Ovis aries: one gene and its partner. The protein of the gene in region 1 interacts with the protein of each later gene in a pairwise test. Links are inferred from orthologs where the notes say so. Each region holds a gene or a part of one and is shown in the gene's direction. Other genes may lie near its edges.

What was found.
Region 2: the proteins of LITAF (region 1) and HIP1 interact in binary tests that used the Homo sapiens proteins (3 or more experiments, as listed by UniProt). The link is inferred for Ovis aries from reciprocal best matches to the Homo sapiens genes LITAF and HIP1.

What each region holds. Positions count from the first base shown.
Region 1 is NC_056077.1:10,788,332-10,793,574, reverse strand, and holds the start of LITAF (lipopolysaccharide-induced tumor necrosis factor-alpha factor), read left to right. Parts: upstream 1-1,426; 5' UTR 1,427-1,588; intron 1,589-5,243.
Region 2 is NC_056077.1:34,460,949-34,466,207, reverse strand, and holds the start of HIP1 (huntingtin-interacting protein 1), read left to right. Parts: upstream 1-2,374; 5' UTR 2,375-2,395; coding exon 2,396-2,515; intron 2,516-3,090; exon of another isoform or gene 3,091-5,259. UniProt on the Homo sapiens protein: Plays a role in clathrin-mediated endocytosis and trafficking. Involved in regulating AMPA receptor trafficking in the central nervous system in an NMDA-dependent manner. Regulates presynaptic nerve terminal activity.

The sequences.
Region 1 (5,243 bases):
TATTGAGGGGCAGTGAGTTGATGGATGTTGATATAGTGGGGGCAGGAGGAGAAGGGGACGACAGAGGATGAGATGGCTGGATGGCATCACCGACTCTATGGACCTGAGTTTGAGTGAACTCCGGGAGTTGGGGATGGACAGGGAGGCCTGGCGTGCTGCAATTCATGGGGTCGCAAAAAGTCGGACACGACTGAGCGACTGAACTGAACTGAACTGAACTGAAATAGTAGTTACTCATTTCCAGAGCTTTCAGTGATTGAGTGAGAAAGTAGCAGGGGCCACAGGACACCCTGGGTGCATGCAAAGTATTGGGTTGGCCAAACAATTCATTTGGGTTTTTGTTTCATCTTAGGGAAAACCTGAATGAACTTTTTGACCAGTCCAATAGTTAGCAGCTGCTGCTGCTCCTAAGTTGCTTCAGTTGTGTCCGACTCTGTGAGACCCCAGAGACGGCAGCCCACCAGGCTCCACCATCCCTGGGATTCTCCAGGCAAGAACACTGGATCGGGTTGCCATTTCCTTCTCCAATGCATGAAAGTGAAAAGTGAAAGTGAAGTCCCTCAGTCGTGTCTGACTCTTAGCGACTCGGTGGACTGCAGCCTGCCAGGCTCCTCCGTCCATGGGATTTTCCAGGCAAGAGTACTGGAGTGGGGTGCCATTGCCTTCTGCGAGTTAGCAGCTAGGATAGGTTTAATTTAGCACAATCTGTGCTGAACGCTTTGCTTGCATTGTTCAGCTAAATCTCTGTGGATCTTACGAGACAGGTACTGTTATGCCCATGTTACAGACAGGAGACTGAGGCCAGAGCAAGTGGGCACATGGCCAAAGGCACATAGATTTTCTTGGGTTGCCTGGATGCATCTGAATGCACAGAATTGAGGTATGGGGAGAAAAGGGCCGACTTCCGGAGGGCAGGGAGCGCTGGATGCCTTGGCAAGGGATCTGGAGGTGATCAGCATTGTCTGAGAACCGGGAAGGAGAACAAATGCCGAAGATGGGGACCCAGGGGCGCAGGGGAGAGCAGAGTGGGAATGGAAATCAGGAGGGGAGTTCAAGGTTGTGCGGGCACGTGGCGCGGATCCACGAGCAGGAGCAGAACCCGAAAGGGGAGACACTCTCTGAGAGTGGGGTCTGGGCTGAAACTAGGGGGTTCCAGGGAGTGAGCGGGGTCTAGGGGTGTCAAGGGGGTGTTCCGAGGGTAGCGGGAGATCGGAGCGGTGGAGGGGAAGGGTAGAAGCCAGAGGGTCGCAGGTCCCTGATGGGGTTTCTAGCTTGGGGGAGGCGGCCCCCCGCGAGTGGGAAGGATCGGGTCCAGGCGGCGCATAGAGGCGGGGACAAGCCGGAAGCGGGAGCCGGAGCGCCCCGCCCCGGCCGGTCCAGCTCCCGCCCCCCGCCTTCAGGCGCTCCTCCCCGCCGTCTTCCAGCCAGTCCGCCCCCCAGCTCCATCTGCTCAGACCTCCCGGCTCGACTGGCGGCGCGCGCGGCGGTGAGTGAGGAGCGCGTTGGCTGGCGGCGGGGGCGCGGGCTGGGGTCGCCGACGGGAGGAGGCAGCGACCGGGGTGCTGATCCGCGGAGCGTCGAGCTGGTGGTGGCTGGAGAGCGGGGTCGGTGCGGCGCCAGCACCAGCTCCGGACTCCGCGGGAGTGGTGGCGGTGTCCCGGAACCCTGGCGGGTCCCCGGGGTTCGAAGTGGTTGGAGGGCGTCGGAGTCCCGCCGCGATCTTCCACGCGGGGCCGGGGAGGCCGGGCTTCCAGTCACTTGGCGCTTGTTCCCGCCGCAGTCCAGGCAGGGTCCCGTTCCTGCTCCCCGAAGTGAGCCGATCGCCCGCGGATCGCGCGCGGTGGGGTCATCCCGCCCTCACCTGAAAGCGCGCCCCGTGTTGCTCGCGGGGGTCTCCTCCTCGGGAGAGGACACCCCGAAGCTTTTCAAGAAAGTTTCGTCTCGCTTGGTAGCTGCTCTCTCAAAGTTGAAGTTTCCAGACTTATTATCGCACGGCTATTCAGAAACAAAACCAACCAACCAAACAAAAAAAGCCCAACAGATTTCCGACGCCGGTCCCAGAAATTCGACTTCTGGGGTCCACGATATCTGCTTTTCCCCGCCATCCCCCGCTCCAGGGGGTTCCCCATAGTATTCAGGACCGCTCTCGGCGGACACCGGCGGGCCTAGGGAGCCCACGAGAGATAAAAATTCCGGACACAGAGCAAACGGAGCCAGGGCCCTGGCTAGACCCCTCGCGGGGAGGGGTTGTGGGGGGGGGGAGCGGGTAAGGTAGGCACCCTGTGAGCGCAGGGGTCGGCCGGGACCCCGTCCACTGCCGCTGCCAGATACATGCCAGTGGCACAGGCCGGCAAGGTGGACATTGGCCCTCCACGCCCAGCTAGGTAGGTGGCCTCTTTCTCTTTGGTTTCCAGGTCACTGTGATCTGGGCAGTGGAGTCATTGTTATGCCAGAAACCCTTCATCAAGGTCAGGACAGGAGGTGATGGGGAAATGGGCAATTCTGGACCGGCTGTGCATTCCAGGGATCAGGCCGGCTGGTCTTTGATTAGTTGTCTGGTGGCTTTTGTGCTGCCGATAAGTGGGGCTGATGTCATTGCATGTCGGACTGAGCTTTGGTGGCTGGGAAATCCAAATTCTGGAAGGCACAGGGCCTTCCCATCTTAGTGCATCAGAGTAAGACTCGCCCACCCATCTTCCCAAGGGGAATAAGCCCTTGGCTGGGTGAGCTGGTGCTGGTTCAAGGGCTGTCTGGAAGGCAGGTTGGCCCTGCAGTTCCCCTGGGGCCCTTTTAAGGAAAGATGTGGTTTGCATTAGTGTGTGCTTGACTGCCTCCCCTATCTTCTTACCCCCCACCCCGCCCCCTGGCCCTGCCCAAGCCATCTCTGATTGACTCTTACAGTGAGACTCACCTGGATGTGGTGTCCAGCGTGAGCTGGTATCTGGGACTCCACCAGACTGTTTGGTTTTATCGAAGTTGACTTGGAGGAGGCCTGCAAGCAGGACTTGGCTCTACCTGACGTAGAATAATACCCATGCTGCTCCTGACTTACCTCAACCAGGCCTTGCACTGGGGTTTAAAGGTGCCCCAGACTCTCTAAGAAACGTCTATTGTAGATCTACGATGGGAGGGGCCCATCTTCCCCCTTTCCTGTTACTTGAAGGCATGAATAATAGATGCTTTTATTCACATTTGTGAAAGTATCCTCATTGTAATGTTTTTGTGGATTAAGTGACTCACTGATTGATCTGAGATGGAGGATCAATTTCTTAAGTCTCTAAATACTAGATTGAAGTCATTTCACTGTCTCTGGTGAGTAAACTTTCCTTTGTTCCTTTAGTCCCTTTTACTGGATGGTTGTGGGGAAATAAAATGCTACTCTAGCCTTGTAAAGGACACAGAAGAAATGTCTCTATGTTCTGAGGGGTTTATGCTGCAGTGGAAAGTGGAAAAAAACACAGGTGGATAGTCAGTGCTCAGCAATGCCCTTTACTCTGGAAGGATTGAAAGAAATGGAAAGGAGTGAACTACAAGTCAGGGAAAATTTCATAGGAAAGCAGAGACCTGAGAATACATGTCATAGAAGGTACATGTATTCCAAATAAGCAGAAGAGGCTCAGCAAAGCTTTGGAGGAAGTGCAGGCTAGCCCATAGTTGAGGACAGTAAAAGAGAAGCCACTGAGAGCAAAGGAACTGGAAGGCATTTCCAGCCCAAGTTTATTTTCAAGGAGATAGACAGGGCATGCTTCCTTGCTTTTACCCACGACTGGCAGTGCTATGGTGCCACTCTGAGAATGGGAGTATGCCCATCAAGGACTTAAAATTCTCCTGCTGAAAATGAATCAACCCCAGCTACAGTGATGGTGGAAAAAAATGAGTTCCATGACTCGAAGTCTTAGAGTTTTGACACTGTGACCTGTCTTCTATTTGTTTGTGCTTTTACTGCAATGAAAATAGCTCACTGGGCAGTGTGGTCCGTCTCACCAAGCAAGTAGCCTTCCTTAACTCATCGGGGTTGAGCTCTAAGTGGTACTTTCCTGGGTCCTCACAATTTCATCTTACTGTTTGCACCTGCGCTGGGGCTCAGGGCAGTCGGGATAACACTTTTGTGGCCAATGAATTTGTCTTCTGACTGCAGATTATTTCTGTGAAGAACTGTGTGTACTTTCATAAGACTTAGGGCCTGGACAGAAGAAAGTAAATATCACGGGTGTCTCAGTGGCAACTCCCTGTTTACCTAGTAGGTAGGAAGTTAATTCACCGAGATCCGAAAAGTCAGAGGCACTTTCTTCTTCGTGGGTGTTAACGTCAGGGAAAATAATGGTGAAGAATTTAAGCTATTTAGCTCATGGGGGTTTCTTCTTTTCTTTAAAAAAAAAAAAAAAATTATTTATTTTGGGAGATCTAACCCATGCCCCCTGCAGTGAAAGCAAGGAGGAAATCCTGACCGCTGGACTGCCAGGGAATTTCCTCTCATGGAGTTTTAGAATTGACAATGTTCCTGAGGTAAATGTAAGAGCTTAGCATTGACTCACCCTATCCGTGAGTCCAGGGAGATTATTCATAAAGGCTGCATTGGTATTTTTTAAAGTTATGTAAAAAATAACAATATTACAGAAAGCATGAAAAATAACGAAGCGTATCCGGTATAATCTCAGCCTGTGAATGAAACAGCTAGCATCAGTTTTCCTTATTTGGCGGCTTCTTGTCATGGTGCCTGCTTTTTTATGAAGTTGTAGTCAGGGTACGAATAATTTTGTCTCCTGATGCAGCCCTATTAATGTTCTCATTGTGCTGTTTCATCAAAAACCGTCATTCATGTGGAAACTGGGGATGTGGTTTCACCAGGAATCCAGGGGGGGAATTGTTTCCCTTTGATTCTGGGGGCGCAGCCCAGCTCCCCATTGGAAGCATTTTCCATTCCACAAATCACTGTAATTTGTACTTAAGCCATATTTGAACCTGACTCTCAGATTGTGGTCACTTTATCTCTGCCTGGTGAAAGAAACTGAATTCGGAAGATGGAATGTGAAAACATGTCTCTGAAATCTTTCCCTGCGAGCTTCTGTGCTTTTAACGGAGGTAGGCTGAATTTATTTGGGGTTCATTGGCCTAAGAACCTTAGTGTAATTTCTCACTTCCTCTCCCGAAGAGAGTTGGAGATCCCAGTTTCCCTTTTTGTCTAAATTCTTCCTCCTAATAGATTGTAAAGAATAGTTTTCTCCGGAGACCGTGAAAGACCA
Region 2 (5,259 bases), about 24 Mb from region 1:
CCCCACAGACTGTAACCTGCCAGACTCCTCTGGCCATGGGATTTCCAGGGCAAGAATACTGGAGTGGGTTGCCATTCTCTTCTCCAGGGGATCCTCTCAACCCAGAGGTTGAACCTTCATTTCCTGCCTTGGCTGGTGGATTCTTTACCACTGAGCCCCAGGGAAGACCCTTCCATCATATGCCACCCTTAAATCCTTCTTCTACAGAAGTTCTAGGGTTTCCCTGCTGGTCCAGTAACTAAGACTCAGTGCTCCCAATGGAGGGGACCATGATTTGATCCCTCGTCAGGGAACTAGACCCCACATGCTGAAACTAAAGGATCTCGCATGCTGCACCTGAGACCTGGTGCAATCAAATAAAGGAATATTTTTTAGAAAGAAAAAAAATTCTAATTCTGGCCCCAACGCTGCCTCCTCTCTCCCCCTCATTACTTTGTCCAAACCTGTTCACAGAACCCATCACTTCATGGCAAATAGATGGGGAAACAATGGAAACAGTGACAGACTTTATTCTCTTGGGCTCCAAAATCACTGCAGAGGGTGACTGGAGCCATGAAATGAAAGACACTTGCTCCTTGGAGGAAAAGCTATGACCAGCCTGGACAGCATATTAAAAAGCAGAGACGTTACTTTGCCAACAAAGGTCCATCTAATCAAGGCTATGATTTTTCCAGTAGTTGTGTATGGATGTGAGAGTTGGGCCATAAAGAAATGCCAAAGAATTGATGCTTTTGAACCGTGGTGTTGGAGAAGACTCTTGAGAGTCCCTTGGACTGCAAGGAGCTCCAACCAGTCCATCCCAAAGGAAATCAGTCATGAATATTCATTGGAAGGACTGATGCTGAAGCTGAAACTTCAATACTTTGGCCACTTGATGCGTAGACCTGATTCATTTGAAAAGACCCTGATGCTGGAAAAGACTGAAGGCAGGAGGAGAAGGGGACGACAGAGAATGAGATGGTTGGATGGCATCACCAACTCGATGGACCTGAGTTTGACTAAGCTCTGGGAGTTGGTGACAGACAGGGACGCCTTGCCTGCTGCAGTCCATGGAGTTTCAAAGAGTCCCACCCGACTGAGCGACTGAACTGACTGATTCACAGAACCTCCCACAGGATTGAACTCTCTCCTGGCTTGCTAGTGGAGGCCCTCGTGGGCTCTCACCTACTGCCGGAGTCTCCCCATTGGTTCCCTTCCTTCCCGTCGCCCCCAGAATCCCATCCACACGATGCCAGCTGGCAAAGCCGTCAGAGGCTCCCCAGTGCCTACATAGGCCCACCCCCTCTTCTGCTTCTCTATTGAATGTGTGAATTTTTATCAAAAGCTCTTAGTCAAAAAAAAAAAAAAAAAAGTAACGCCTTTCTTTACTTTGAGTTGCAAAAAGCATTTATTTTTAAAACATCAAAATTGGCATTTGAACAGAAAACTTTTAACTTTCTTCAGCATCTCGGCTAAGGATCTTACTTCCACCCCCTTCCATCCCCCCTACGCCTGTCGTCAGTACCTTGGCTGACGACGGAGCAGGATGGGAGGGGTGTCCCAGAGCCGGGGATAAATATTAAAATGTCCACATGGGTTTCTACCAACGAATACATCCTGACCAGATCCAGAGGGTGAGAGGTTTGTAAAGGTGTCGAGAAGTTTCCACTGACCCAGCCCAGCGCTCCCTGGTCTGCGAACATTACAAAAGGGATGGGCAGGGATTCGGGGCAGGGGCAGGACGAGGGAGAAGGCGGTGGGAGCCGCTACCCACGCCGGCCAGGTCTGCGACCCGCTGAACCAACCTGCGGAGGCCCGGCCTCAGGGCAAGCGCATCCTGGGACAGGGGCCGCCGAGCTGGTCCATCGCGCGCGCTCTTGTCTCCGGCCCGAAAAGAGTTAACAGGCCAGTCCCACGCGGGCCCGGATTCCCTGCGGCAGGCCCAACTCACCGCCAGCTTGACCCCCGCCCACCAACCAAGCCGGGACCTCGCGGCGCCCGGGGTGGGGTGGGGGGACTGGGAGAGTGCGGCTCGCTGGGAGCTCGCGGGTGCAGCCAGCGGCTGGGAGAGCCGCGCTCTGGGCGTCGGGGAAGGGGCGGGCTAGGGCAGGTCAGGCCCGCCCCCGCCAGGGGCGGTGGAGGCCGGTGACCGACAGGCCTCCGGGCCCGTCCCGGCGCGCCTGACGGTCCGGAGCGCCCTGCAGGGTAGGGCCGGGGCGGGGGCTCTGGAGAGGGCGGGGGCGGACGGGGAAGCCTCTGGGCTGGGGCGGGGCCTCGGCAGAGTAGCAGCGCTCTCAGCCAATGGGAGGCGGGCGCCTTCCCGTTAGCGCCGGATCCCAGTGGATAGGGAGGGGCGGGCGGCGCCGTGGGGATCCCGGGGCGGCTGAGGGCCCCTGACTCGGCTCCGCGCGGCGACATGGACCGGATGGCCAGCTCCATGAAGCAGGTCCCCAACCCCCTGCCGAAGGTGCTGAGCCGGCGTGGGGTTGGCGCGGGGATGGAGGCTGCGGAGCGGGAGAGCTTTGAGCGGACTCAGGTGAGGACCGGGGCGGGGTGGGGGACACCCCCGGTCGTGCACGGCTGGGGCATCCCGCAGTGTCCTGGAGGGGACTCGAAGGGAGTAGGGATCTTGCAGGCCCAGGGAAGGACTGAGCAAGGGGGCATCTGGTGCGGTGGTCAAGGCGGTCTGGGAAGGTCGGGGACCCCGGGGCCATCCCGGCTGGCCTGGGGGAGAGGGCAGGGCGGCTCTGAGCAGCTGGCACGGTCCGCGCGGTGCGACCGACTGGAGCCGGTCCCGGCGGGGCAGGGCAGGGGTCACGGGGGCGGTGAGAGGGGAAGGAACGCGAAAAGGGGGCCGAATGGAAGGGGTGCCCCTAGCTGGGGAAGGTCCCTGGCGGGGGGGGGGTGGCGCTGGGGGTCGCAAGTGTGGCTGCAGAGAGTGGGGCGCTGAGTCGGGAATGTGAGGGCTGGGGCGCCCTGTACTCTCCGCTCGATCACTTCAGGACTGCGTTGACATTCCCCCCGTCCCTAGCATCCCCTTCCTTGTGCCTCTAGCTTGGCTCACGCCAGCCCCCAGCTGTCGGCCTCGGAGGACCGGACTGAAGGGGTCTGAGCCCGGAGGAAGGAATGTAGGAAATGCGGTGTGTGGCCGAGTTTGGAAGATGACCGGGGGCTGGAGGAGGGGGCCGGCCCAAGGACAGATATTGAGGGTCCTGGACCAGTGGCCCCGATTCGGGTCAAGTTGGGTTGTTCTGGGGTGCCCAGAACCCTGAATCGGGGTTTTGATTTCATCCCCCTAAATGTGCCTGACAGCTAATAGGCAGCCTGCCCTAAATTGTCCAGCCTGAGCAGGGCTAGGGGCCAAAATTCCTCACTGTCATCAACAAAAAGCCACAATCCATTTTTACCTCAGAGTTTTAATGCCTGGTGTATTGATTGGACTGAATAAAGCTGACATGTTTATGGTGTTCATCGGCTGGTTTGTATGCAAAATCCATTTCGAAGGGCACAGCACTTCTTTTAATCCCACTGCTGAAGTTGTATGGGCAAGTTTGTTCCTCACTCGCGCTCACTCTTGCTCTCGGAGTGAAACCTTTGAAGAGCCAGGGGGCTTCCGCTGCCAGAAGCTGGTTCTCCCGTTCTGTTCTGCTCCCCACCGCCCTCCCCAAACTTAGTACCATGTGAAGGAAGGGCAGTGGGGTTTTAGATAAAGATTGTGAGGTCCTGATCGAGTGTTCCATGTAGGGAATCTTGCAAAGAAGGAAACTTTTCATGAAAACCCAGGAGACTAATTCCTCTTCTTTTTCCAGGCACCTCTGGCCCTTCACAGGTGTGTCCAGGTGGTGTAAAGTAGGCAGTGTCCCCTCCCTAGGTCATCATTCTACCCCACACGGGATGGGAGAGAAGGCTCTTTACTTCTCTCTCCCAGGGTCTGGCTGGGTTTAAGCTTTATTTTCTAATTCTGTGGATTGGACCCCAGAAAGGAAGGAAGATGCTTGTCTGCTATGGGCATTATGCCCTCGTCTAGCTGCCTGGGCACACAAGGCTTCTTGCTCCAGGAAACAGTGTAAATCTTTCTTGTAATGGACAAGGAAAATAAATGGTAATTCATTCCTTTTAGAGTCTCCAGTAAAAACTGGAGCAATAGAGAAATACACATAAGAGTTTGACCCATTATAGTGATGGAAATTAGGTTTGTGAAAGTTTCTCTAGCTATCCAGGGACGTCCCAACAAGGAGAGTCTAGGTCAGTGTTAGGCAGTATCTTACATTCTGTGGGGCACTGATAATTGGCCAGATTTGAGCTAGTGGCGTGTGTGTGTGTGTGTGTGTGTGTGTGTGTGTGTGTGTGTGTGTGTGTAAGGGAGGTAGAATGAATCAGGAAAAGAGTTTCTGTGTTGTTGAAACTATTAGGGCAATAAGAGAGTGAAGAAAAGGAAAGAGAACAATTCTAAAAACCTCACCTTAGTCAATCTGCAAAAATGTGTATTGTTTAATGACTACTTACCCAATGTATGTGTGTGTTAGTCACTCAGTCGTGTCTGAATCTTTGCTACCCCATGGACTGCAGCCTGCCAGGCTCCTCTGTCCACAGAATTCTCCAGGCAAGAATACTGGAATGGGCAGCCATTCACTTCTCCAGGAGATCTTCCCAACCCAGGGATCGAACCCTGGTCTCCCTCATTGCAGGCAGATTCTTTACAGTCTGAGCCATATGAACATGAGTTATAAAAAAAATTTAATGAGTTAAGAGACCATGGAATCAGTGAAGGTGGGCGGATGATTGTAACTAATTATGTTTGGCACTTTTCTGAGTACTTTATTGTATCACCTTCTTTAATTTCAGTAAAGTACTGTGAGGTGATATTGACAAGGACCTATGAGGTGAGTATCAACCACATTTTATCTGGAGGAAATTGAGGCACAGAGAAGTTAAGTAACTTGCCCAAGGTCAGACAGCATGTTGTGATCCCAACCTTTAACCACAGCTCTGTGTGGCTTCTGAGTACTGGGCCGAGCACTGGTATGGGAACTGGAAGAGGCTGAAATTTGATAGCCAGGCACATGGAGGGGCTGTGGTCCCAGGCAAGTTTTCCAGCTTTTCTTAGCCTTGGGTTCCTTATTGCAAAATAAGGATACTACTTACCTCACAGGTTGATTATGGGAGACTAGATTAAATAATATACCTGGAGGCATTTTGTAAACTGGAGAGCACTGTGGCGATGATGATTGCTATAATCTGAGGAGGAGAGGGGACCAGAAAAAAGGCCAAGTACTGGGG